Stegostoma tigrinum: one gene and its partners. The protein of the gene in region 3 purifies or fractionates together with the protein of the main gene of each other region. This does not show direct contact. Links are inferred from orthologs where the notes say so. Each region holds a gene or a part of one and is shown on either strand. Other genes may lie near its edges. The genes, in order: cttnbp2, cttnbp2nlb, stk25b and proline and serine-rich protein 2-like.

Region 1 (6,886 bases), on a different chromosome or scaffold from region 3:
GGAGGAAAATATAGGACAACTATATTTATCTTACATTTGGAGTTTAAGCTTAATGTGGGTCACGAATATTGTCATGGTGGCTTCTTACACAGCTGTGCTTTCATTGTATAACATAAACTAAAAGTATTATGCTAACAAGAGTTTTTTTTAATAAATACAGAGCATCCCAATAGAAAGCATAACACACTGGAGTTCCTTCACAAGCTACGAAAATCACCTAACCATCATTTCCATTTTGGTGTGCATCTTAAACTTAAGCACTAAACTTTGTGTGTCACCAATCTGGATATTTTTTAAACACAGTTACCTAAACCCACTTTGGAACACCAGTAAGTTGCCTCTTAACCTTCACAGATATACCATTAAGAAAAAAAATATCACAATCTGTGACTATCTTCTTGTAACAAATCTCCCACAAAATGGTATCACTTTAATAAATCCCTTTTGTACCCATTCCATAATCTTGACATTTTTCCTTATTTAGATTCCAAAAACAGAAGTAACATTCTAATGGCAATCCAACCAATGGCTCATCATTACCACTTCAATTTTACACTGTCTCCCTACTTATGAAACCAAACGTCCCAGCAGTTTTAACAGCTTTTGTCAACTGGTTCTAATAATTTAAATAATTCATTTCCACCCACAGCCTTGAGCTTTCCTTCGTTCACATCAGTGCAGCACTTCTAATTCGTAGGAGGGCAGCTTAATGGCAAATCGTTCATGAAGTATTTAAGCCTGACATCAACCTGTACAGCAAAGCAACCAGAAATGCTGCAAACTCTAATGATGACAGCATTCGTTTACAGTGTAAGTGTAAGACAGGATGTCTTTGAAATTGCTAATACCTATCAAATTATTTGCCAAGTTGAATACTTGTAGCTGGAAAATTCCAACAGCATCTGGTTCTTTAGTGAAATGAAAGCCTGTGTGAAATGTGTGCATCACACATTTGCACCATCCTATAAATGGAGGGTGAAATAGAAACAGTTAAGAAAAGAAAGTCTATCACTTACCCTTAACGTTTCGATCACCAGATCTCTGGCTTCCAATTCTCCTTCAAGGATACTTAGGAAAGTCAGCAGCTCGGTTTTACTCAGACTCTCCAGGTCAAATTCAGACTTCTGGAACAGTAACAAATTTACTTCCAATTTAAGTGGATAAGGACTCACACCAATGTATTAAGCATTAAGCTGAATGACAACACAAAACATAATTTACGCCTCTAACAATGTTTGACTGAAACAAAAATCAAAAGACCATAAACAAATGTGCAACTGTTCTACGTACTGTATAAAACACGATAATACAAAAAAAACCCTCAATTCCTTAAGGTGGCTAGTCGATTCTCCTACAGCTCTTACGATTTAAGGTAGCCGAATGTTCTCATCAATTACAATTAAACAGCAATTGCGATATAATATGAAAGGAAATGTAGTTTAGACAAATAATATCTTCGATACAATCGAGTTTTGCCTTATTGAACTGAGTAAGATAAATGATATAGACACGGGCTCAGATTTCAGCTGCAGGAAGGCAACCCTCGGGGTTTTGTTCAGGGCAAACAAAGTGCTGCGGGCCGGCAAAAACCTTGGTGTGTGGGTGGGTTTTCGTTTTCAAACAGAAAAAAAATGCCTTCAATCGAATTTCAATTTCGGAATGTAGTACGTTCCACTATAAAGCCAGCAAAGAAAATGAGAATCTCGGCAACGGTGTGAGCAAAACGCCAAACGTAAATCGATTCTAAAGCCCAAATCAAATCGTGCTTTCAAACACGTTACGAAAAAGAAAAGCGACGGGAACGGAATTTATGAAGAGGTAGAAGAACTGCACGGTTACATTTTCCAGGCTGAACCCCTCTTAGCGTGTGGCCGCTTCCCGCATCAACTTCCACAGGGAACGGATACATTGTATCCACTGAGTTTATGCGGCTACATTCCAGACTCAACCTCTCACAAAGGAGCGGGCTTTTCTTCATTTATTTAATACACATTGCCGTTGATAAAGCTGACTCCGCGGTACGGGTCACTCACTGGACTTTACCTGGCAGACAGTGGGGGCTTGTTCCTCAGACGAGGGGTCGCCGCTGTCCGGCCTCAACTCGCTCTCAGTCGCCATTTTGCCTTGTGAGGGGGTGGGAGGGAGGGGGGAATACAGACAGACAGACTCAGCGCCAGCAACCAGACAGGGGGCAGTGACCACCAGCAAAGAAAAACCAGAGCCCATTCACAGCAACCGAGAGAGAAACTGCAGAAACGAAACCTGTCGAGAGAAAGACACAGTCTGCATAAATCAAACCTATAAAAGAAACAGCACAAAGCAAACTGGAGAGAGGGAGGGAGAGACTGTACAGACCTAAGCAGAGAGAGAGATTGCACAAACCAAACCAAATCTACAGACAGAAAGAGACTGTACAAACCAAACCAATAGAGAGATTGCATAAATCAAATCTACAAAGAGAAACAGCACAAACTAAACCAGGAGAGAGAGACTGTACAAATCAAAGCAGAGAGACATTGCACAAACAAAACCAGGAGAGAAAAAGAGAGATTGCATAAACCAAACCTGGAGAGAGGCTGTACAACCAATGGAGAAAAAGAGAGACTGCATAAACCAAACCCAGAGATTCCGAGCTGAACATCAAACTGACAATGAAATAGCCACACAGAGGCTCTACCAAACCAGCAACTTATTACTGGAGAGGCGAAACTAAATGACACATGAAGGGTAACTCTTCTGAAGGCTGGGGTCAGTGCAGTGTGAAGCACCGCTGTTCTTGCTGATGATTTTTCATCTGAATACCTCCCGGTGAACAAGTCTCACGTTTGCCTGGTAATTTTGACATGGACCCATTTCTCGTAACATTGCATAGTTAGTGTAGAAAATTTATAAACAAAGCCTCACGGGCACGGAAGTTTCACTGTCCATGAACGCTCACATATTCCAAACCAAAATCAAGACCTCGGACTGTGGCAAAATGCTTCTGCAGCCATTTCACAGTGAGGTGTAACTGATCTGTATAACTGCTATCATCGTAAGAACAGCACAGGAGTCACGGAGACCCTGCTTGACAAGATATCGTGACTTGGAAGCTGGTTGGTTGATAACGAGATAGGAGAAATGTTAAAATATTCGTCGCTTTATCTGAAGTCCCTGCCTTTCTCTAATAAATTTGAAACTCCTGTGTTGCATTGGGAACCAGATAACGGGTGTCGAAAAAAGTAGACTGCCATTTTTTTCAAGCTTTTTTAATTTATTTGTTTGGTCTTTGCCGTTAGTCAAAATGAAGGTAAGTGTAATTAACTGCATCAATCTGTCAGGCAGACTTTTGGGGAAAATTTTTACTTCTGTTGATTGTAAAGCCAAAGCAAAACACTCAATTTTGTCAGTCTGTAATGTGAATAGAAAATTTTGGAACTACTGTCACCAGATCAGGCAGAATTTCTAAGAGAAAGCAGAGTTAATTAGCTGGATTTCAATCTTCCTTGCTGGCAGGATTCAAGGTGGAAGACCTACTTGTTTCACCTAACCTGGGCGATATGTCGGGTATGTGGAGGTGTCAGACGGTCTACCCTGTCTTTGGGCCTATTGAGGCCAATAAGTGGGCCTCCCATCACCATCAGTAATTTACCCTTAGTGGATGAAGACCCACATCATGCAGGAAGCTGCGTGGATTGATGCCAGGCAAAAAGAGACAGATCTCCTGTGTGAATCTTCTGGATCCAATGGAGCTTCTAATACTTAGTTTCTGAAATCTCACATGCAGGATAACTCAAAAGTAGTTTTTATAGCTTTTAGCTATTCTATATTATCTCAGGTAAAATATATGTTACTTTTTGCATATTAAAATGCAAATCTTGTGTCCATTTGGAGTATAATACTAAAGGAGAGCATCAAAGAACCTGAAGAATGTTTAAACCTTGTGGAACAAAATAATGTTCATTTCAGAAAACAAGTAGCTAAATGTCAGTGGAAAGTATTCACTTTCCTACTAAATTGCTGGAAAAAATATCCTGATTAAATTAAGATGGAAATGCTGTAACCACAAACTGGGCTAAAATAATCTATATACAGCAAAAACTTCAAATGCATATGCACTAGGATTAATTCTAATCAAATTAATTTTAAAAATGGAATTACTAAACAGTAGGCAGTTTGGCGACATCATAATTTTGATTTCTTACTGTTAAATAGGATGTGGTAAAATCCGGAGATAATTCAGAAAAAAATTGCTTGAAGCAAATCTCCTGTCACTTCTCACGCAGCATCATCTTCATTCTTCACAAAAAGCATAAATTGAAACTCCGAAGAACAACTTTGCCACTTTCCATCTCAATGCCATTATTTGTACACAAGTGATCAAAGAATGGGAATTACTTTCAATTTCATGAGCTTTTTTTTAAGGAAATAATCTGCAATCTTGCACAAAGCTTAGTTTATTGCTTAATTCTAAGAAACGTGGAAACTGAAACCGAACAATTGGAGGGCACCTTGAGGAAGAAAAGTCAAATATCTGTGCTTTTGTAAGAATGTCTTATAGATGCAGGAACAGTAAAACTGCCTCTTTGCACACCAACCTCCAGTCCCTTTTGGAATGTAGGGTATCTATGACATGATGTAGTTACTTTAATTTAAGGGATGAGCAATTGTTTATAACAAACGATGTCAGGTCCCCAGATTATCTATATAATCCAAATCCCACATCTCTGACAAAGGAACAGCAGTAGGCCATTCTTCCACTATTCAGTGAGAGCATGGCCGATCTGTGACCTAACTCCGTATTCCTGCCTTTTGCTGAACAAAAAACTATCAATCTTGGACTTAAAATTAACAACTAACCCTGCATCCATTGCCATTTCCAGAAGAGAGCTCCAAACATGACCCTTTGTATATAGAAGTGCCTCCAAAATCTCTCTTGAATGGTCTGGCTGTAATTCCCAAACTGTGCCCCCTAGTTCTACAATGTCAAACTAGTGGAAATAGTTTATCTTTGTTTACTTTGTCTTTTCCCGTTAATATCTTGAAGACTTCAGTCAGATATCCTTAACCTTCTAATTCTTTAGAAAATAGGCTATATTTATCTGGATGTGAGTTTGCTCGCTGAGCTGAAAGGTTAGTTTTCAGACATTTCGTCACCATTCTAGGTGACATCATCAGTGAGCCTCCGACGAAGCGCTGGTGTTATGTCGAAAAAAAAATACCTTGCAAGAACTGTGACAAACACTACATTTGGACAAACAGGCAGAAAGCTAGCCACCAGGATACATGAACATCAACTAGCCACAAAACGACATGACCCACTATCACTCGTATCCTTACATACAGATGAGGAAGGTCACCACTTTGAGTGGGACAACACATCCATCCTAGGACAAGCCAAACAGAGACACGCACGAGAATTCCTAGAAGCATGGCATTCCAACAGGAACTCCATCAACAAACATGTTGATTTGGAGCCAATCTACCATCCTCTGAGAAAAGGAACAGTAAATGACATCACCAATGCAGGAAATGACATCAGCAACCCAAGGAAACCTAAACAGGTAAATAGAAAGTGGGACATAACACTAGTGCTTTGTGGGAGGCTCACAGATGATGTTACCTAGAATGGTGACAAAACATCTGGGAACAAACCTTCAAGCTCAGTGAACCAGCTTATATCTGGAACAAAATAAAGAACCACTCTCTTGTGGACTGAGAGGAGGAGAGTGCTGTCTTGGAGGTGGAAGGAGGACGTCGGGTTGGCTGTGCACCCTTGCAACCAGTGGATCTTAATGCTGGCTTCGGCCTAACGCTGGTTCAGGGGAGCAGCCAACCTGCAACGATGGCTGCGGCAAGTGCTCGTGCCCCAGGTCAGGGGGTCCGGAACGCCAACCGTGTTTCCGTAAAGAAGGTGGATGAAGGTGCACCTGTGGACTGCACCTTCTTCGTGAAGAGGGTCCTGTTGGACTGTTGCGGGTTCGCTGCTGCGGACATTTACTGCCTGCAGGATTTCCCCGGAGGAGGTTTATACGACGTGACCTTCAGGAGTGCCAAGCTTTGCGAGCACTTCCTGGAGGTTTTCAAGGAGAAAGGAGGTGAGGGCCCCCTCTCTGTATTGCCTGCTGTCCCGCTGTTTGTGATGCCAGCGCAGAGGAGCCGTATGGTGACTGTACATATGTACAACCCGCATGTGCCAGCAGTTGATGTCCTGACCTTCCTCGGAAGGTACGTGAAGGTGGAAGGGGACCTAACTGACATCATGGACCCCTTTGGCATCTGGACGAGTAAGAGGCAGGTCAAGGTGATGCTGAGGATGGGTGCGGACGGGAATGTCGTACACCCACCGTCCAGCTTCGCGATCGGTGGGAGCAAGGGCTACCTGACCTATGCATGGCAACCTAAAGTCTGCCATGCCTGTGGTAGGTCAGGTCATGTGGCGGCCGACTGCAAAGCCACCATCTGCAGGGAGGAGGGACACCTTGCAAAGGATTGCCCACAAGAGAAAAGCTGCAACCTTTGCGGGGAAGCGGGCCACCTCTATAGGGCATGCCGGCAGCGGGGGACCACCTATGCCCAGGTTGCTGGCAGGGGCAATGCGGGGCCAGCGCCCCCGGAGGAGAGGAAGGCACCAGGGCCCAGCAAGGACCCCACTAATGAGCGGGAGGGCCAGGCCGCGCAGGGTGGGCCCAGCCCCGCAGGGTGGGCCCGAGGCCGGCAAAGCACCCCTGCAGGCTCCGCTCCCCCCCGACAACCCGGAGTCGATGGAGGCGGCGACAGGCGACCCAGGGGAGTGGACAACAGTCCGGAAAGCGAGGCGGAAGGTGCGTCGATGGGCCCAGAAACCGCAACCATCAGGCGGGAAGAGGCAGCTACAGGGGGGCTATAAGAGCTCCTCTGACGAGGG
Region 2 (7,238 bases), on a different chromosome or scaffold from region 3:
AATTATCAAATAAATTTGATAGCAAGCCAAAGCAGCTATTAGGACCAGAAACCAAAATGCTGCTCAAAACAGATATATTTTAAATGAGGGCCTGAAAGCAGAAAAATCAGACACAGAGGTGGAGGGAAGGAATTCTGGATGTTAATGCTTTGGCAATCAAAGGCTGGCTGCCAGTGATGGAATGCTTAAAATCAGGGATGAATGAACAAGAGGCCAGAAAGGTTTTTGATACAATGCCACACCAATAGAGTTATGAGGAAAGTAGGTAATGGAATATAAGGGGCAACAGCAGTAGCAGATACAAAATTGGCTGATAGGAAACAGGGTAGTGGATAATGTATATTCTTTGGGCTAGATAAAGGCTGGCAGCATAGCTGCCCAGCTGAAAGTTTTGGGACCCTTGCTTTTCCCCGATTTTACATAAAATCAAGCAAAATGTGCAAGCGACAATTTCAACATTCGGGGACAAAACAAATCTTGGTGAAATTGAAATCCAGAAAAGAACGCCTGAACTTCAAGAGGACATTCGCAAACGGTGGAGTGGGCAGACAGGCAGCAGATGAAGCTCAATGCGGAAAGGTGTGAAGTAATGCAGTCAGTTCAACTAACATGGACAGACAGTACGAAATAAAGGAACACTTCTGAAGTGTGCGCAGGAGCAAATGGACACGTGCCTAGATCACTAAAGAAGTAGGACAGATAGAGAGTGGTAAATAAAGCCCACATTATTCTTGACTTCATACATAGGAGCACAAAGTACAAAAACATGAAGGCTATGATGAATATTTGTAAGACACTGGTTAGGCGTTAGCTGGCATACTATATTGTGTAGTTCTGAACGTTACATGATTGAAAGGATGTGAATGCATTGGAGAAGTGGGGAAGAAATTTAAGAACAAAGACAAAGACAAAGACAAAGTTGCTGGAAAAGCTCAGCAGGTCTGGCAGCATCTGTGAAGGATAAAACAGAGGTATTGTTTCGGGTCCAGTGACCCAAAGTTGAGGAAGGGTCACCAGACCCGACACGTTAACTCTGTTTTCTCCTTCACTGATGCTGCCAGACCTGCTGAGCCTTTCCAGCAACTTTGTTTTTGTCTTGATTTACAAGATCTGCAGTTCTTTTGGTTTTTATTAAGAATGGTTCTCAAGATGAAATACTCAGTCATGAGAAAAGACTGGAAACATGGGAACTCTTTTCATTGGGGAGAATTGGTAAAAGTATTAAAATTCATGAGAGATCTGGAAAGGCAGATTGGGAAATGACACTCCCACTCAAGAACCAGATGGTTCAGTTTTAAAGTGTTTCACAAAAGATAAACATGAGGTGAGGAAAATCCTTTTCACACAGCGAGTAGTTTAGGTCTGGAGTGTACTGTCTGGAAATGTGGTAGAGGCAGATTCAATTGAGACATTCAAGAAGGGCATTAGATGATTATTTAAATAGGAACAATGAGTCGGGTTATGTCGAAAAGGTGAGGCGTTGGCATAAAGTTAAAACGCTTAGATAGCCAGAGTTACAGGATGGGGCAAATGACAACCTTCTGCACAATAACAATTATGTGATTCACAATGAGACAAAGAGTATTGAACAGACATCGAATCAGGATTTAACCTCAAACAAACCAGGACGAGGCCATTTGCCCCTTGAAGCCTGCTCCCCCATTTGACAACATCACAGATGATCTGATTATATCTGTAATTCCACATTTCCACTACTCCCGATGGATCTGCCATCATGGTGTCCGTTTTGCCTGCAGCACGGTATTTTTTTACCTGATGAGTCAATGCTTACATAAAACAAAGAAAAGCAAATCCTGGAGATCTGAAACAGACAGAAGCAGAAGTTTCCTGTAGACACTCATGCTGCCAAACCTGCCATGAAGATAAAGCAGATTAACTACGAACCCAGCAGGCCCAGCAGCATCTCAGGAGCACAAAAGCTGATGTTTCGGGCCTAGACCCTTCATCAGAGAGGGGGATGGGGTGAGGTTTCTGGAATAAATAGGGAGAGAGGGGGAGGTGGACCGAAGATGGAGAGAAAAGAAGATAGGTGGAGAGGAGAGTATAGGTGGGGAGGTAGGGAGGGGATAGGTCAGTCCAGGGAAGACGGACAGGTCAAGGAGGTGGGATGAGGTTACTAAGTAGGGGATGGAAGTGCGGCTTGGGGTGGGAGGAAGGGATGGGTGAGAGGAAGAACAGGTTAGGGGGGCAGAGACAGGTTGGACTGGTTTTCGGATGCAGTGGGTGGAGGGGAAGACCAGTCCCCCTCTACTGACACCCTCATCCACCTAGCCGAACCCTGGGCCACCTCCAGCACATCCCTCACCTTCCTGGACCTCTCAGTCTCCATCTCAGGCAACCAGCTTGTAACTGATGTCCATTTTAAGCCCACCAACTCCCACAGCTATCTAGAATACACCTCCTCCCATCCACCCTCCTGCAAAAATTCCATCCCCTATTCCCAATTCCTCCACCGCATCTGCTCCCACGATGAGGCATTCCACTCCCGCACATCCCAGATGTCCAAGTTCTACAAGGACCGCAACTTTCCCCCCCACAGTGGTCGAGAAAGCCCTTGACCGCGTCTCCAGCATTTCCCGCAACACATCCCACACACCCTGCACCCGCCACAACCACCCTAAGAGGATCCCCCTCGTTCTCACACACCACCACACCAACCTCCGGATACAACGCATCATCCTCTGACACTTCCGCCATCTACAATCCGACCCCACCACCCAAGACATTTTTCCATCCCCACCCTTGTCTGTTTTCCGGAGAGACCACTCTCTCCGTGACTCCCTTGTTCGCTCCACACTGCCCTCCAACCCCACCACACCCGGCACCTTCCCCTGCAACCGCAGGAAATGCTACACTTGCCCCCACACCTCCTCCCTCACCCCTATCCCAGGCCCCAAGATGGCATTCCACATTAAGCAGAGGTTCACCTGCACATCTGCCAATGTGGTATACTGCATCCACTGTACCCGGTGTGGCTTCCTCTACATTGGGGAAACCAAGCATTCGCAATAAACAATATCCCAGTCGCAAACCATTTCCACTCCCCCTCCCATTCTCTAGATGACATGTCCATCATGGGCCTCCTGCAGTGCCATAATGATGCCACCTGAGGGTTGCAGGAACAGCAACTCATATTCCGCTTGGGAACCCTGCAGCCCAATGGTATCAATGTGGACTTCACTAGTTTCAAAATCTCCCCTTCCCTCACCGCATCCCAAAACCAGCCCAGCTCTTCCCCTCCACCCACTGCATCCCAAAACCAGTCCAACCTGTCTCTGCCCCCCCCTAACCTGTTCTTTCTCTCACCCATCCCTTCATCCAGCCACACATTTTATTACCTTGGATTCTCCAGCATCTGCAGTTCCCATTATCACTAATGTTCTGGACACATGGGTTCATGGCAGATGATGAAATTTGAATGCAATGGGGGGGGGGGGGGGGGGGAGGAAAATCTGAATTAATAATGAATCCGTTGTCAATGGTCAGGAAAAAAAACGCGTCCAGTTCACGTGTAGTAGGAGCTGCCGATGCTGGGGAACCTGAGACAACAAGGTGTAGGGCTGGATGAACAGCATCAGAGGAGTAGGAAAGCTGACGTTTCGGGTCTAAACCCTTCTTCAGAAAGATGGGCATTAAATACTGACCTGGCCAGCGACGCCCTGAGCTTGTGGATAAATAGTAGATAAATGTAAACAGTTGTTAATGCACGTTGCAAATAAAGTTCACACTTTCCTATGTCCTTCTCAATCATGCAAAAAACAAAATACTTAAATTTACAACCACATACATACCAAGTATAAGAAAAGCGCTACACTTCGTCTCAATTCAACTTGTTGCAAACTTCAGAAGAGAACACGGCTTCTGTTTGCTGGATGAGGCCCCGCCCCTTCCCTGGCGTTTAACCTGCCAATCCCGTCAGGGGGCGGAGCTCGGGTGAAACAAAGGAAGCCTCCGGTGGAGGCGGAGTCACGACATAATCACATGCACAGACCTCGGCAGAAGGCGGGGCCCGCGGGCGGAACATAATGCGCATGCGTACTCCGGTGGGCGTTCGGCCGTGTCACAGCTGCGCATGTGAGATGTTTGACTGACGTGTGTTGTGGCAGAAAGCCACGCCCCTCCAGTCCGCGGCGGAAAGACGGGTCGCATAGTTACGCATGCGTAACTATTGACTGACTTTTGTGTCGGGCGAATGAGCCACGCTAGTAGAGTGGGAGGGGGTTCGGACACACCGTCACGCATGTGTAGAATCTGATTAACGGCGGTAAACGCGGAATGGGGCGGAGTAAGGGCGAGCACCGCCCATGTATCTGGAGACGGATCTCGCATGTGCGCATGCGTAGAGATTGGGACAAGGGGAAACAGTTAGCAACCAAAAGAACTGCGGATGCTTAAATCAGGAACAAAAACAGAAGTTTTCGGAAAAGCTCAGAAGGTCAGGCAGCATCTGTGAGGAAAAACAATCAGAGTTAACAATTTCGGGTCCGGCAGCCTTTCTTCAGAACCGAACCACTTCTTGGGCGGAGCTCACACTCTGCCCGCCCCCTTCCGGAAAGGGTTGTGGGGAAACCACCGCGCACGCGCAAACCTTCGCAGGCCGACGGTCGGGCGGGAACGTGCGGGGCGTGGCTCGGCCTTAACCCGCCCCCAGACCTCATATGATTGGCTCGCTAGTGCAGCAATCCGAGCCACCTATTGGACAGAACGGCTGTCAGACAACCTCGATGACGTCCCGAGGTCGAAAGAGGCGGGCGGAAAAAAAAGTGAGAGAGAAAAAAAGATCTGAGATTTTCCACCGGCTTCGGAGAGCAAAGGGGCATTAAATGTAAGTGTTTTTTTAAAAAACTGCCTTAGCTCCATAGTTCTCTTCGTGATTATGCTATGTGTTTGATGATTTTTGCTTCTGAGTCTTTTTTTCTCTCACGATTTTATTTTTTCTTTTTATCCCCTCAATTTTATTCTAATTTTTCCCACTGTTTTTGTTTCTCTTTTATTCCTTTTTCTTTTCCCAGTCACTTCAGGGCTTCTTTTCATGCAGAGCAACAAAATGGATGGATTTGCCTCAGACAGTCTTATAATGTTGTGTACCTTCCTTTCCGATTTGCACTTTGTAAATCCACTGCCTCAACAATTAGACAAAGATTAAAATGTTAATTTTATCTGCGCTGGAAAAAGATTAAAAAGCTTGAGGACCAAGTGCTTTTTCTTTAATGAAGCAAAGAAATCATAATTTCTGCTCTAGTATGTTCCTGAACATTATTTAATTTGTGTTTGGTGCAGTTACACCATTAGGGAATCAGCACTGATATTTTTTCCCACTGTTTTAAGAAGCCAAAATGACTAAAACCACAGCTGGAGTTATAAGGCTTCATTCCAGCAGTTATTTAGTAAATCTTGTTCTTGTTCCACTAGAAATAAAGCAAAGCCTGAGGACAGAATCAATCCCTGAAAGGTTTGTTTGAGCTCAGGCAGGGAAGTTCACTCCCCATCTCCCATTGTTGAGGGGAATGAGCTAACTGAGCATTTACCTCATTGCCATTTCCGGGACCTGATGGTGTGTGAATCAATGACTCTTTTTTTCACCAGTACCTAAACAATGAGACAGAGACTTAGCCTATAATTCAAGTTGAAGTTTGCAGCACTTACTTTCAGAGAAGATGTTGAACCAATGTCCCATCATCTTGGGTCAACATTGAAGACCCAATGTGTACTATTTGGGGGAAAAAAAGTGCTGAGGAGTTCTGCACAATAACCTGGATCAATATTTATGACTTAGCCAAACTGCTGAGCAACATCAGTTAGCGATTGTTGCCTGTGGGAGCTTTCTGTGTGCAAAATGGCTGTTCTGTTTTCTGCACTACATCTATACTTCAAAAGTTGACTATAATTTACATTGAGAAGTCTTGAGCCCATGAATAGTATTATGTAAAAGATAAGTTTTAACACTGTTATACTCAAAAGGTACTTAATTCCATGTGAGATAGTTTTGGATCAAGTATGAAAAATGATCTATAAATTTGAGTTCCTTGATTTGAATTTGGAAGAACAAGTTGTATTTTATATTTACCGTAGAATTTTAGAGTTCCCATTGTTTTAATAAAGCAAAACTAATTCCAAATAAATTAAAGAAAACAGCTCTGTTTTGCAGCTATGTCTCTGCTTGGGGCAAACTATTTTAATGGAAGTAACAAGTGAAATGACCAGTTTTTGTACTGCATTACAGGTATTTTAGAGGGTAGTTATCGAAAGAAAATGTATATTCTCTTGTTTTAAGAGCAAATTATTTCCATTTCTTAAATAATTCACTATTCCATTTGTGATTATATTTCAAAATTCGTTCATACTCTGAATCATTGACTCATTTCTTCTATTTTTTTCTAATTGACTAAGGTCTGTTCTCCATACAATTATTCACATGGGCTTATTTGTTGTGTTATTGCAAGTAGTGCTTTGCTGTCATTGTATAAATAGATGGCTATTATCACACTACTATTATAACAAGCCTATGAATTTGCATTTAAAGTACGATCAGTTGTTGAAAGTCTAGCCATATGTAGTAATTTTTGAAGTCAAAGTTATGATTAACAGTCTTTTTGTTCTATTCAATACACTTTAAGCTTTTTGTGGTAATAGTTCTCTCTAATCAGTGGGCACTAATTGTGTAGTTGAATCCTACTCTCCAGAAAGAGGCCACTAAGCCTGACAATGAGAGCGATTTGAATTAATTCATCCTGTCAGTCACCCTCTGTTTATAACTGTCTCACTGTTGGTAACTGCCTCTCTACTGACATTTCAGCTGTCCAGTAGCTAGTTTCGAAACCTGTTCCAGCTATATTTCTCTTCTGCAAACTCTCAAATGACACCGTGGTGACTGTGGCAAAGGTACACACTCCTTAATCTCCATGTAGTCTCTTTCTTTCGGCGTAAATATTCTGTTTTCCCAGCCACTTTAATTTCTGATGAAGGGTGAGTAGACGCAAAATGACAGTGTTTTTCACTCTACAGATCATCATTCATGCTGCCAAGTCCACTGAATTTCTCCAGCACTTTGTTTTTGTTTCAGATCTCCAGCATCTGCAGTTCTTTACTTTATCCCTCATCCTTCTCTGTCTGCGGTTTTTGGAATGGTTGGTCATGTCGCACTCCTCCAATTTGACTCCATTGTTGTACAGGTAGATGCAGCTGCACTAACTTGCCTGATTCCATTTCGATCTGTC
Region 3 (7,008 bases):
TGGTGTCGAGTGACTTCTGATCCTGTAAAAAGGAAAACTAAACAACACACTTTTGATTATTATAACCTAAACTCTCAATCAGCTGAGTAGCTTGATTAAAGGGCATCAGCTCTTTACAACCAAAAGCACAAAATATCATTTAAAAAGGAAGGCAACTTTGAAGAGTTCTTAGAAAGGAAAAGTGATTCTCAGCTGCTGTTCTGATCCTGTTTTTATTTGTATTCTGAAGCAGTGCTGTCCACTAGCTATAAGTGGCCAATTGCGTATCCAAAGTGGTTAATTGCATTTCTGATCAGAAAATAGAAAACATGTTAGAAACTTAGATTCTGGCTGCAGGATTTCAAAACTCATGTGAGTGCAGCTCGCAACATATGTGAACACTAGCCTTTCTTAGAGGTTTCACTGGTAAAAACGCCAGGATTAAAGGCAGAATGTGCAAGTCCCTTCTTGATCGTTATTTGTTTCAATTCTTCGGTTACTGCTAATTGGTCATCTCCAAACAGCATCAAAGACGGATGAAAATGCCAAACCTCAGCACCATGGAAACACCAGCATTGTTGTCTAGGAACAATTGTCACAGTGGCCAATTTGACTGTTACAAGCCAGCGGAAGGAAGCCGTACAAAGAAAAGCAGCTCCAAGAGAACAAGCAAGGGCAGGTCTCCTACGCCCTGAGCAAGTCAAAATTCTGGGCAACCACACTGGCTATGTCAAAATATTGGTGCGTGACAGCTGGATAGAAAATTCAATGTTGTATCAGGATGTGGTGGGTCTGATAAGTTCTGTCCAGGATTTACAGCACTGGCCCCAGGATAGAACTGCAAAATTTACCATTGAATGAGGCTAAGTATTTGTGAAGAAATTTGTACAAGTTCATTTACCCACAATACAGGCAAGGCATTGTCTAATAAAATTCATGCATGTGGCTGAAAGAGCATTGCTAGAAAATCTGCATTAATGCAGCAATCTGTAATGGAAATGACTGCGCTGAAAGGAAGCAAACAATAAGCAAAGGGAAATATTCAAAAGCAATGTCCTTTGATGCACCTTATCCTGAAAAAGATATCTAGATGTTTAATTAGGCTATCCCAATTACAAGCGACTGCCATTAATGTCATCTCTTTCCATCCATGAAGATTAGGTACTGATGCCAGTAACTGTATCCGACTGTTTCAAAGGTCAGTGCAAACTACATCAGACAAGGTGCCGGATTTTAAAAAGATTAAATCACCTAACCACTGTTTTGTGATTCCTCACCCAAAGAAGATCTAATCATCACACTGTGACACAAGAAATATTTTGTTGCAAACTGCTGACACATGTGCATTTCTCCAAAGCATGTTGTCCACCTTTCCCATGGTTCACGATGAATCTATTGCCTTTTAACAAATTAGCTTTATGAGGTGCTCATTAAAAACACACTAGTTCTTGTTACAGTATTAGAATAAACATGTTGATTTGGCACATATTGGCCATTTCAAAAAACGTTGAAGGTTTTCCAATTGCTAATACCTTGTGGGACTATGCCACTCTACAAGACAGCAATCTATTTTTGTGCAGGGGAGTGAAGGGGCACTTTTGATTTTAATAACTCATGGTTGTTTGAAAAGGGCAGCGTCAATTGCCCTTGAGAAAATGATGTTGAGCCGTCCTCTTGAAGCGCTACTGCTCATGCAGAGATGCAGAGATACCCACAATGCTGTTAGGAAGGGGAGCTTAGGGTTTTGAAACAGCTGCAATGAAGGTTCCTGGTTTGAAAGCAGTCCTTTGCAAGTTGGTACAATGCATCTTCTAAACGGTTATACATTGTTGCCACTGTGCACGAAGAATACAGGGAGTGTATGTCTAAGATTATAGATAGAGTGACAATCTGCAGGCTGCTTTTTCCAGAATGATGTCAAGTTTGAGCCTTGTAGATGGAAGGTGGTGTTTAAAAAAAAAGTCATTTGCTAACAACACTCAACGTCTGACTGGCTTTGTTGCCACCTTACTTACACGGCCAGTCTTGTTGCATTTTTGATCACTGGTAAATATCGAAATATCTGTTGTGGGCCAGACATATGGAAAAGACAGGCTTCCATGTAAAAAAAAATTGAGTTTATAACTTATGTCAATATTGGGGATTCAACAGTGGCACTTGATACAATGAGAAGGTGGTTATATTGTTGCTTAATGTCATTGTTTGGGATATGTAGCACATATATTACTTGCCACTTACTAATCTCAGCCAAAACGTTGTCGAGGCCTGGCTGCATTTGGGCCATTTCAGTACCTGAGGAGTTGTAAATAGTGCTGGTCACTACGCAAACGTCCCCATTTCTGGCTTTTTGTGATGAAGTGAAGGTCACAGGCAAAGCAGCTGAAGCTGGTTGGGTCACTACCCTGTGGAACCTGTACAGAAATAGCCTGTGACCGGGAGGGTCGTCCTCCAACCACCGTGAGCATCCTCCTTTGTGTGGAGCGTGACTCCAACTGGCACAGATACATACTCAACCCCGAGGATGCCCATCAGTGTGGGTTTCACTGGGGCATCTTGATGTCACACAGTCAACACCAACTCACATGCCAATCAGAGACACCTTTGAGGCGGACGACAGGGTCAGTCCACCCAGAACACCTACCCCCAAGATCAACAAAATACATGGAATTGACGTTTTGGTCGTGGGCATTTCATTGACATGATAGAAATGGGGGAAACAAAGACACCTATGATATTTTAGATCAGAGGGTGGGAAGGAGAGAGAGAGAGAAAGAGAAAAGCCCAGGGCCAGCCACATTCTACAGAATGCCAGCAGCTGCCCCTGCTCCTACCTGGATACTGAAGTCTCGAATATGAGCCATTTCCATGGGAGTCGGTCAGACAGTGCTTAGAGGTCTCCAGCGGTGTGGGTTACAGTACAACCTCTAAAGGCAGGCCCAAGGGGACATTACCGCCGCCAAAGGCCGCCTGGATCCTCCGCAAACACCGATCAGCCCCTCACTGTTTGGGTCTCCAGATCGCCTGCTGCCCGCCCACAGCGCGCAGGCGCGGACGTGCCGCGGCGCACGCCGGGACCAGGAGTCCTGGAATCGGCCGCCACCGCCCCGCGCAGCACGGTGGGCACTACAAGCCCCGGCATGCCCCGCGTCGCGCCGGGGTTCCGGCCTGAGCCTTCAGGCCGGCTGGGCTGGCGTCACTCCGCACAGCCGCAGTGTCCACCTGTCAATCACCCTGACAGAGCCCCGCCCCGCAATGACACACGGCAATCTCAGCAGCAGACCAACAACAACAACTTGCAATTGCAGAGCACCTTCTTCTAACCCCGCATTAGAACATAGAACATAGACCATTACAGCACAGTACAGGCCCTTCGGCCCTCGTCGTTGTGCCGACCTGTCATACCGATCTCAAGCCCATCTAACCTACACTATTCCATGTACGTCCATATGCTTGTCCAATGATGACTTAAATGTACCTAAAGTTGGCGAATCTACTACCGTTGCAGGCAAAGCGTTCCATACCCTTACTACTCTCTGAGTAAAGAAACTACCTCTGACATCTGTCCTATATCTTTCACCCCTCAGTTTAAAGCTATGCCCCCTCGTGCTCGCCGCCACCATCCTAGGAAAAAGGCAGCGTTCTCAGACACCACTTTACACCCAAATCTTACAAAGTCAAGAAACAGAGCAAGGGCAGTACTCAGAGCTTTGTGGAAAAAAATGGCTAGATGTAGGAAATAGGAGCAGGATCATAGAACAGAAGGAGGCCATTCGGTCCATCGTGACTGCATGCACTGGCTCATTAAATGAGCTTCATTACCTAATGCCAAAGTCGTGCAATTTCCCCATATACTTGTCTCCAGCACACTTCCTGGCACTGCATTCCATACTGTGACTACTGGCTGCACCAAAATATTTTTGCTCACTTTTACAGATCACTTTAAATCTATGTCCTCTCTTCCTCATTCTTTTCTGTGTGGAAACAGCTGCTGGCCATCTATCCTAGCTAGCCTGCACATGATTTTGAGAACCTATATCAGATCTCTCCAAGGAGTCCCAAACTCTTCAATCTATCCTCACAACAGGGGTTCTTCATCCATAGAACCATTCTTGTAAACTTCTTTTATGCATTTACATCCTTCCAACTAATAATAGCACCCAGAACTGTCCGCAATACTCCAGCTGAGATCAATGGAGTATCTTACTCAAGTAGACCATTTGGTCCCTGCTCCTCCATTAAATAAAATCATGGCTGATTTATTTGTGTTTCGAATTCCACATCCCCACCTACTCCCAATACCCCCTCATTTCCTTGTTCATCAAGAATCCATTGACCTCTGCCTTATAAATATTTAATGGCGCAGAATCCACCATCATCTGAGGCAGAGTTTCAAAATTTCACAACTCTCTGAGAGAGAAAAAAAATTCCCCTCATTTCTGTCCCAACAGAGAAACGTCTAATTTTAAATCGGTGCACCCTAGTTCTGGACTCATCTTTGAGAGGAAATTTCATTCCCACATCCGCCCTGTTAAGATCTTTCAGAAGTAGGCAACCCAGAAGAAATACTAACTTCAGAGGGATCAAAGGGAACAAACAGAGATCCAAATCAGGCAGGACATACTGTGAACATTTTTGGGTGCTGCGCATGTAGAGGTACAGCAAACTTTTAATTAACCAGCACCTATGGGACCAGGTTATTCAAAGATTCCAGGTAATCAAGAGATACGCATAACCACAGTAAACTCTGGCCAAAGAAACTTCGAGACATTACATCCCTGAAAACATCATTGTAAAAACATCAACACATCTCCTAAAATCAAGCAAAACCACACAATATGCGATAGAAATGTAATGTGGGGGGAATACACATCACTGTTATACCTTATTTAAAGCATAAATATTCAGACATCTTGGTAAATCATGTTATTTGAGGGTTTTTTAATGCCAGTTTATCAAGAGTGCAGTGGTAAGATGGCAGTTAAAACTAAGTTTGCTGTATTTGAGCGAGTCCAGTGTTGCTTTACCAGAATACTACCTGAACTTCACGGGTTAAATTGTGAAGGGGTAGGTCTGACCCTGCTGCCAACTGATTTCCCTCTCATACCATCATGATTGTGATGATTTCGAAGCGACAGCATTATCTGGTAATAATGATATGCCAAAGATGTAAACGAGGCTTCCTGTCATATTTAAGAATCTCTATGCTCTCAGGGAGTTTTCATGATTTTGGTTTTGTTAAACATTTTGTTCACAAAGCATGGAAAAATGTATCTGACGCTAACTGAGAAATAGAAACATTAACTTAGACATTAAAAGTCAGTTGAAATGCTTTATTTAACAATTTTGAAACTCTATTTTTAAAATTTTGTTTCATGTATTTGTTTTTAAAAATCACAAAGGAAAACATAACATGACCATTCTTTAAAATTCTAGCCTTTCATTCAGCTTCATTTTTAATTACTCATTTTTGCAGTGTTGGCTTTAGAAAGAGTATTTTACCCATTATACACCACAGCCTTCACCAAACTGCTAATAACAGGCACTAAACTGGCAGAATGGTCGCAAAGTGGATCAGATGATGAGTGGCAAAAATACTCACTTTAAAAGCTCTTCCACCAGTATCCTTGTAAATGCCTCCCTTTTTAAAAAGCTAATTAACTCATTTTACATTTTGCCAATTATCTCAAGCAAAACCCATAAATCTTACAAGCACCGTGAATATACAGGAGGGGTGGAAAGCTGGACCTCCGAATGATTTCTGATCCAGTTCTTTAGTCCAGTCCTGACTTCCTGTCTTGTCTCTAACCTCCCCCTGTCCCAATTAAGTAGTATTTGGAGCCTCAACATCTTCCCACCAATCTGAGAATAACTCTTTCATACCAATTGTTTACCTCAATGCCTAAACAGTTTTTGTTCCATTCTGCAAATCTACACATCTTAATCTTAACTAATAAACTATTGCGTGGAACATTATCAAAAACCTTCTAAAAATCCACATATGCAACATCAATCAATCCTTCTCTATGCATCATCTTAGTGAATCTTTCAAAGATTTCTGTTACATTTGTTGAAATAGTCTTGCTTCACAAACCGTGTTGGCAGTCTGGAAAAAAAAACCTAATTTTTCTGCCTGGGATTTCAACAGCCTACTGGACTCAATATCGAGTTCAACAATTTTAGGGCTTGAACCACCTTTCCCAAGTCCTTACCCCAACCCCCACATACCAGGCCTTGTTAGCTGATAGTCTGCTATTACACACGACCCATCATTAGCCACTAATTGTCCATTAATACCTATTCATTCTCCCAGGCTACTTTCTGCATACAACCACCCTTTTCCAAGCTACGAGATAACAAGGTGTAGAGCCGGATGAACACAGCAGGCCAAGCAGCATCATAGGTCTAGGCCTGAAACGTCAGCTTCCTGCTCCTCTGATGCTCCTTGGCCTGATGTGTTCATCCAACTCTACACCTTGTTATCTCAGATTCTCCAGCATCTGCAGTTCCCACTGTCTCTGAAATGCTTTGCCAAACTGCCATCAGTTCTGAGGAAGGGTCACTGGACCCGAAACATTAACTCTGATTTCTTCTTGCATGCTGCCAGACCTGCTGAGGCTTTCCAGCAATTTCTGCTTTTGTTGGAAATTATCTTTATGTTTGCAAAGTGTTTACTTGCTCTGTCACTTTTAGGACTCGAAACTGAATTGGACATTGGACTTCTATGACTGAAAACAAGTAAGGTGTGCAACACAATGTTACTTTTTGGAAGTAAAAAGAGGACGAATTCAAGACAGAATGTTGCGAAGAATGTTTTGAGTCAAAAGTATCCAGACACTGCAGACAAATATATTCTCTGCTTCTCTCTCTCTTACTGTCTGCCTGTCTGTCTATGTCTGTCTCTCTCTGTCTCCATCTCTCTTTTTGTGAGGAAAAAGACAGAAAACCATGGGAAGCTTACAAGAAAGAATTCATAGAAGAAAAGACCTTGGCTCACATGATTAGCAACCAAATTAAAGGAAGGCTGTGACT
Region 4 (6,854 bases), on a different chromosome or scaffold from region 3:
CTGTGACAGGCTCTCTGAGGAAGGCCCTTTCCATATCCTCCACCAACCTCTGTCTGCTGCCAGCAGAAACTGCAGGCCAGCGATGGTAAGGCTTGGATATGCTTCTTTAGGAGTGCTACAGATGCCTATTGAGACTGAGCAAAGAAGCAACATGGAAGAGAAAAGAAGGAAAGTTTGAATGGTTCCACAACAGTGAGTACACCCCAACCTGTACTCACTGTTGTAGCAGCTACAAATCCTGGAGAGGACTCTTGAGGTCACAGCAGACTCTCAACCAACGAAAACAATTTTCCAAAAATCTCTGTCTGTGAAGAAATGCTGAGAGGGAGAGCTAGGCCATGGAGGTGATGTGAGGACTCCTAATGGTCACTATGTCGCCTTAATGGATGCAGTATCTGTCATTACGGTGAGCATCTTTGGATTGCAGGCTGATAGGTGCCACCTGTAATGGTACAGTTACCAATTTTTATAGATGCACCATAGACAGCATTCTATCCAGATGCGTCACAGCATAGTATGGCAACTGCTCTTCCCAAGACCACAAGAAATTGCAGAGAGTCATGACCACAGCCCAGCCCATCACACAAACCAGCCTTCCTTCCATTCCCTTCTATACTCCCCGCTGCTTTGGAAAAGCAATCAACATAATCAACGACCCCTGCCACCTCAGTTATATTCTCTTCAATCCTCTTCCATTAGGCAGAAGATATAAAAGTTTGAGTAAGTGCACGAACAGATTCAAGAACAGCTTCTTCCCTGCTGTTATCAGACTTTTGAATGGATCTCTCAAATATTAATTCTGATCTCTCTCTCTCTCTCTCTCTCTCTCTCTCTCTCCCTGCACCTTCTCTGTGGCTGTGACACTGTATTCTGCACTCTGTCCTGCTACCCTGATGCACTCTGTATGGTACGATCAGCCTGTATAGCACATAAAACAACACTCTTCACTGTATCTCAGTACGTGAGAATAATAAAGCAATCAATGAATCAACTAATTCAGTGCTAACCCTCACTACTATGGAAAGAGCAATCAATGTGTCTGCAGTTCCACCTCAAGCCGGTTACAGTACTTAGTGACTAGCCTCTTCTGTGAGGCAGATGCAGCATCATCTACCCTCTGATATGGCCAGGTGAGAGTGTTCAGGTTAGGTATCATTCTCAACCGCATTCAATGCCCCCTTACAAACTTACATTTCTCCTCAGAGGCATGGAGCACAGTAGAATTCCTGAATTGATTTCCTATCCTCAGCTTTCAATTTATTCTGCGCTGTATTAAGTGAGTCTGTCAATTTTCACCAAGTTTGATTTTTAAAATACATTCACGTGGGTCTGGAGTCACATGTAGGCCAGATCAAGTAAGGATGGCAGTTTCCTTCCCTACAGGGCATTAGTGAATCAGATGGGGGTTTTCCTGACAATCAGCAGTGATTTTATGGTCATTATCCGACTCCTAATTCCAGATTTTTCCTTAAAATTCAAATTCCACCATCTACCATTCAAACCCAGGTCTCCGGGATATTTCCTGGGTCCCTGGATTAACAATCCAGTGATAACACCACTAGCCAGCGTAGGGATTGTAATGAGGTCAGCCAGGAGAACCTCATAGAATCTGAGTTCCCTGATTGGGGCAATTAATCTGGTTCAATCAGGGAGCCATGGCGGTGTGCCTGCATAGATCCCAGATTGATACAGTATGCAACATCAAGCTCCTTTGCTGCAACAACATTGATACGGGGAAAGTAGAGATAAACCAATGCAGGGAAAGGTTTGCAACAATATGCCAACCCTGCATTCAATAAACTTCAAGTTTTGATTGATCTTTGGGTTTGGTGAGATATTTGGAAGAATCAAACTTCTGGAGATTAGGAGACTGAGTTACTGTCTGTCCGTGTTACTGAGTACCAAGGATAGAGCTACAACCAAGAGAGATAAACTCTTTTAGGGGGCTTAATGTCATAACTGCTCCATTGCAAGGAAGTCAAGCTGACCAGTAACATAGCTGTGCACATTTCATGCCAATACAAAATATGAAATTCACCTTCTTAGCAGTGACAGAAAGCCATTCAGCCCCATGACCCTGTTTCACGATTCATAGCTGACACGCATCTTAACTCTATCCCCCTATCTACGTGCAAAAATATATCGGTCAGATAAAAAAAATTTATCAAAGTTTTGAAATTTTCAATCCAGGTCACCCCTGAATTCTTTTGACACATTTACTTGAATGAATGTTCAACATTGTGTTTTGAGAAACAGTTTTTATTTAGTCATTATTAATTTTGGTTTCAAAAATTTCCAAAAAAATGGCCCATCATCACTCAATAGCTTTTCTAGAAGCGTCTGTCAGTGAAATTATTTACAGGATCTCTGCAGCATTGGAATGAGTAGAAATGGAAGTTCTTTCAAAACCAACTTCCACCGGACATCAGAACGGCAAATGGAATGTGCCTCCAAACTGCACAGTTTCTGGTCTCCGCTAAATGCACACAATGTTTAGCACGGGAGTTGATTTGAAAGTGCCCCAATACAGTATTTCACTGCTGAAGTGGTACAAGATGAGAGAAAGCTGTACAGACTAGGCAACAGGCATTTTACTGCAGCGGCCACACCTGCCATTATACCCCTTTGGTACTTGATGGTCTTGGCACACTTACTCCAACAATGACCTGGGACACGAGGTATACAATCCCCCAAGGTCAGCATGCAGCTATTTACAGACTGCTTCATAACAACATCTTTGCATTCAAATGGCACTGTTAAAGTGACAAAACCTCCCTAGGTGCTTCATGAGATCAACGTATAACACCAAGCCACATAAAGGAGGTTTTTGGAGTAGATGATCATAAATCTTGTCAAAGAAGTCAGTTTTCAACAGTATCTTAGCGGAATACAATTGAATTCAAAGAATAAAGTCTGGAATTGATGGCTAGTCTCATATTATTGATCACAACACCATCTTTGATTGTCTTAAAACCCCAACTGGTTCACTAATGTCTTGTAGGAAGTGAAATCTGCCTTCCTTAGCTGGTCTATGAATCTAAACCCACAGCATTGCAGTTGGCCTAAGGGGCAACGTTTTCCTGAGGGGGGTAGTGCGTGTTAGAATGAGCTGCCAGAGGAAGTGGTGGAGGCTGGTATGATTACAACATTTAAAAGGCATCTGGATGGGTACATTAATAGGAACGGCTTAGAGGGTTATGAGCCAAATGCTGGCATATGCGTTCTGATTTATGTAGCATATCTGGTCGGTCTGGACGAGTTGGACCAAAGGGTCTGTTTCAGTGTTGTATATTCCTATGACTCTCAACTGCCCTCTGAACTGGCCCCCAATCTAGTTACTCATGTGGGTTATTCTAAAACTAGGGTTACCGTTTAAAATAAGGGGTTACACAACTCAGACAGAAATGAGGCGAAATTTCTTATCTCTCAGGGGGTCATGAGTCTTTTGAGCTCGCTTCCTAGAAAGTTAGTGGAAGCAAGAGATCTTGATTTTTTTCTTAAAGCCGTGTTAGATTGATTCACGGTAAGCAGACAACTTAATGGGGGACAGGCCAGAACATAGAGTAACCAGATCAGCTGTGATCGCCGGAGCAGGCAGAATGGCCTCCTGTTCCTAAATGGCGTGTCCCACAGAAATAACAAAAAAAAGTTCCAAATATAAAAAACACCTAAATCCGGCGATCGGGACTGACTCCCAGAATATTCTGAATTCTGAGTGTCACCAGCTGACAATAGGTGGCAACATTTCAACTTTCCAACAAAACGGATAAATGATTTTTCTCAACCAGAAAAGAAAATCAGGTGAAATTGTGATCACATTGCGCCAAGGGAAGGGAAGGAAATAGTAGGAGACACAGCTACTCATCTGGGACCTCTCTGTCCACACTCTGACCCCGTGTAAGCTGCACGGAAAGTGTCCAACAATGATGTCATGTGTACATTTCAAAGTTGCATCCACATTTCCCAGTGTCCACCCTCAATCCAATTCACCCCCTTTCAAAGTAAAACACCAGTAAGATCGAGAGAATGCAAGCAGAAGCGTGGTTAAAACCCAGAAAAGAGATCTAGCACTGAGCTCGCCCTTTAATTCCAAAGACTTGTTCCCTCCTACTGATTGGAAACGATTGACAGGCTGGAGCGCTGTTGCGCTCGGGCAGTTGCCTAGAAATGTGAGTCTTTAAATCGAGAATTAATCAGTAACTCGCTGGCAGAGACTGTGAAGTCAAAGCTCGAAGAAGGAACTTGCAGGCGGGCGTTAGGATACAGCTGGCAGGCTGGAAAAGAAGATGAGGTTTTAGACATTGACGCTGATATAAACACCCAGTTTGTTACATCTGGGAGTCTCTGTCCGCTGCGGCGCCAACTCAGGTAAATCATTGGGGTTTCAATTTTCGTGTGTAACTGCTTCTTCAGATCTTTACTCCGACCTGACTCACCAGAGATTTCTGGCTAATGTTGTTTCGTGTCTTTCGGGGCAAATAGAACAAAGGTCCGTAATGCTGTTTTATTCTGTCTCTCTTAAGCGAGAGGAATTCAGATGGAATTTAAAGTGTGAGCTGATGCATTTTGAGAGGGCTAGCAAAGGAGGACAGACACATTGAAAGTACGGTGGATCAGAGGGGACCATGCTGTGCATGTTCACAGACCCTTGAAAGCAGTAGAACAGCTAGGTAAGGTGGTAAAGAAAGCGCTGGGATACTTGTCTTTGTTAGTCAAGGCATTGCATACTAGAGCAAGGTGGGTATGCTGGAGCTGTGCAGATATTATTTAGGTCATACCTGGAGTACTGTGTGCATTTCTGGTCACATACTATTAAAAAAGATGTAATAGCACTGGAGGGGGTACAGAAGGGATTCATTCACCAGGATGTTGTCTGGGCTGGAGCAATTCAGCTCTGAAGAGAGACTAAAATAGGCTCCACTTGTTTTTCATAGAGTGAAGGAAGCTGAGGGGGATCTGAATGAGGTGTAAAAAATTCCAAGAGGCATAGACATAGTAGATAGCAAGAAGCCTTTCCCCTCTGAAGAGGGGTCACTCGCTAAGTAACATGGATTTAGGGTAAGGAGCATTAAGTTTAAAGGTGATTTAAGGAAGTTTTTATTCATGGAATTGGAAATCTGAAACTCACTGCTGGATGATAGAGTGAGGAACTGTCACAACAATTAAAAACTTATTTAGATAATCATTTGAAACCCTGTAGCTTACTATGGGCCAAGAGCTGGGAGATGGGATGAAATTAGAAAGTGTTTAATGATTAGCATGGACATGATGGGCTGAAGGGACTCTTCCATGCTTAAAAACTGTACGACTATATGATCCTGGGCCACAAGGCATCCGTTTGCTGTGTGCATCCGTTTGCTGTGTGCTTACATTTTTGTTATAAAATACATGACTAAATATATTTACACATTAATCAGCACAGATCATGACAGATTCAGTCGGTCATAACTCTTTAATGCCAAATTGAGAAATTCCCTATTGTGGTGAATTAATGTGTAAATCATCAGAAAGAAAACTGTTTCAATGCAGACTAACATCATCTCAGAATGTCTAACGCGCTTTGGCCAGGGGAATACTTTTTGGAGTTTAATTGCTGCTATAATGTCAGTAGGACAGCAGCAGATTTTACAAACAGCAAGCTCCCTCAAACAGCAATACTGACCAGGTATTTCTGTTTCTGTATTGTTGATTGAGGGATGGATATTGACTGGAGTCCCAAGCATTATCTTATTGAAATTGTACTTTCGGAGCTCTTTTCTTCATATCCACCTGCGAGGATAATATATTTTTTTAAAGATTATACTCAGAGATATGGCAGCAGCTTTGAAATGTACAGGTGAGTTGGACATCATTCCTGGACACTTCCTTTGCAGTTTACACTGTGCTGACAGAATATGGAGAGAGGTCCCAGCGGACAGCTTTCCCTTATGTTTGCCTATACACCTTTCCCTTTCCAATGTCGTCTTCTTCCTCAGCATTACGGAATAATAATTTCATGTGTATTTTGTTGAAAAATCAGTTGCCAGAAAGTTGGAAGTCACCACTGCAGTCAGTTTCCAAGTGAAAGACAGTATCTCTGACAGTGCTGGGCTTCCTCAGTTCTTGCAGTGGAATTGCATGTTGATTTTTTCACTTGATACCTGAAATGGGACTTGAACCCACAACCTTCAGAAGATGTTCACCAACTGAGCAATAGCTAAACTTGAGATGTTAGCTTACTTTCTCTGCATGGTTGCTGCTGACCCACTGTGTTCTCCAGCATTTTTTTTTGTTTTCAGTGCAGATTCCAGCATCTGCAGTAAATAGCTCCAACAAAAGCATTTTAGCTTGGGTCGTGGATGGTATGCTCTTTCCTGGGTTAGGGGAGTTTGTGAAGCAAAGCAGGCCTGGAATTGGATTCAATCAGAGTACCCTATTAGTGCACCCATGTTGCTGTACCAATATCAACATTACCCTGTGTCATGATTGATATTGACGTGCTGAGTTGATTATCGATATAGTTATTTTGTATCACTGCAGCATTATGTACAAGTCAGTATTAGTCTGCATTTTTCTGTGTCAATGCATTCTGTTGACACAACTTTACCAAGCACTAGGGGACCTTACTGTACATTTGCTCAATCACGTAAAGGGGAATTACATTGATGTTCCGTATAATAGCACTTTGCCGGATTTGTTTGTGCACCTTTTTAAGGTGTGTCCAGTTAACACATCTTGTCATTTCTGAAGAAGGTTCTCAGCCCGAAACGTCAGCCTTTCCTGCTCCTCTAATGCTGCTTGGCCTGCTGTGTTCATCCAGTTCTACACCTTGTTATCTCCATAACACATCTTGTCAGAGTGTATTCAGCATACCT

The links.
Region 1: the proteins of stk25b (region 3) and cttnbp2 purify together in Homo sapiens (affinity purification with mass spectrometry; 3 studies listed by BioGRID and IntAct, with this or other methods). This does not show direct contact. The link is inferred for Stegostoma tigrinum from reciprocal best matches to the Homo sapiens genes STK25 and CTTNBP2.
Region 2: the proteins of stk25b (region 3) and cttnbp2nlb purify together in Homo sapiens (affinity purification with mass spectrometry; 6 studies listed by BioGRID and IntAct, counting the BioPlex papers as one, with this or other methods). This does not show direct contact. The link is inferred for Stegostoma tigrinum from reciprocal best matches to the Homo sapiens genes STK25 and CTTNBP2NL.
Region 4: the proteins of stk25b (region 3) and proline and serine-rich protein 2-like purify together in Homo sapiens (affinity purification with mass spectrometry; 3 studies listed by BioGRID and IntAct, counting the BioPlex papers as one, with this or other methods). This does not show direct contact. The link is inferred for Stegostoma tigrinum from reciprocal best matches to the Homo sapiens genes STK25 and PROSER2.

What each region holds. Positions count from the first base shown.
Region 1 is NC_081371.1:35,147,201-35,154,086, forward strand, and holds the start of cttnbp2 (cortactin-binding protein 2), read right to left. Parts: upstream 3,022-6,886; 5' UTR 2,642-3,021; coding exon of another isoform or gene 2,566-2,641; intron 2,514-2,565; exon of another isoform or gene 2,263-2,513; 5' UTR 2,227-2,262; coding exon 2,044-2,226; intron 1,125-2,043; coding exon 1,017-1,124; intron 1-1,016. UniProt on the Homo sapiens protein: Regulates the dendritic spine distribution of CTTN/cortactin in hippocampal neurons, and thus controls dendritic spinogenesis and dendritic spine maintenance.
Region 2 is NC_081374.1:6,853,370-6,860,607, forward strand, and holds the start of cttnbp2nlb (CTTNBP2 N-terminal like b), read left to right. Parts: upstream 1-4,237; 5' UTR 4,238-4,846; intron 4,847-7,084; 5' UTR 7,085-7,155; coding exon 7,156-7,193; intron 7,194-7,238. UniProt on the Homo sapiens protein: Regulates lamellipodial actin dynamics in a CTTN-dependent manner. Associates with core striatin-interacting phosphatase and kinase (STRIPAK) complex to form CTTNBP2NL-STRIPAK complexes.
Region 3 is NC_081367.1:6,947,158-6,954,165, forward strand, and holds the start of stk25b (serine/threonine-protein kinase 25), read right to left. Parts: upstream 3,008-7,008; 5' UTR 2,847-3,007; coding exon 2,811-2,846; intron 1-2,810. UniProt on the Homo sapiens protein: Oxidant stress-activated serine/threonine kinase that may play a role in the response to environmental stress.
Region 4 is NC_081378.1:5,838,357-5,845,210, reverse strand, and holds the start of proline and serine-rich protein 2-like, read left to right. Parts: upstream 1-3,846; 5' UTR 3,847-4,368; intron 4,369-6,854.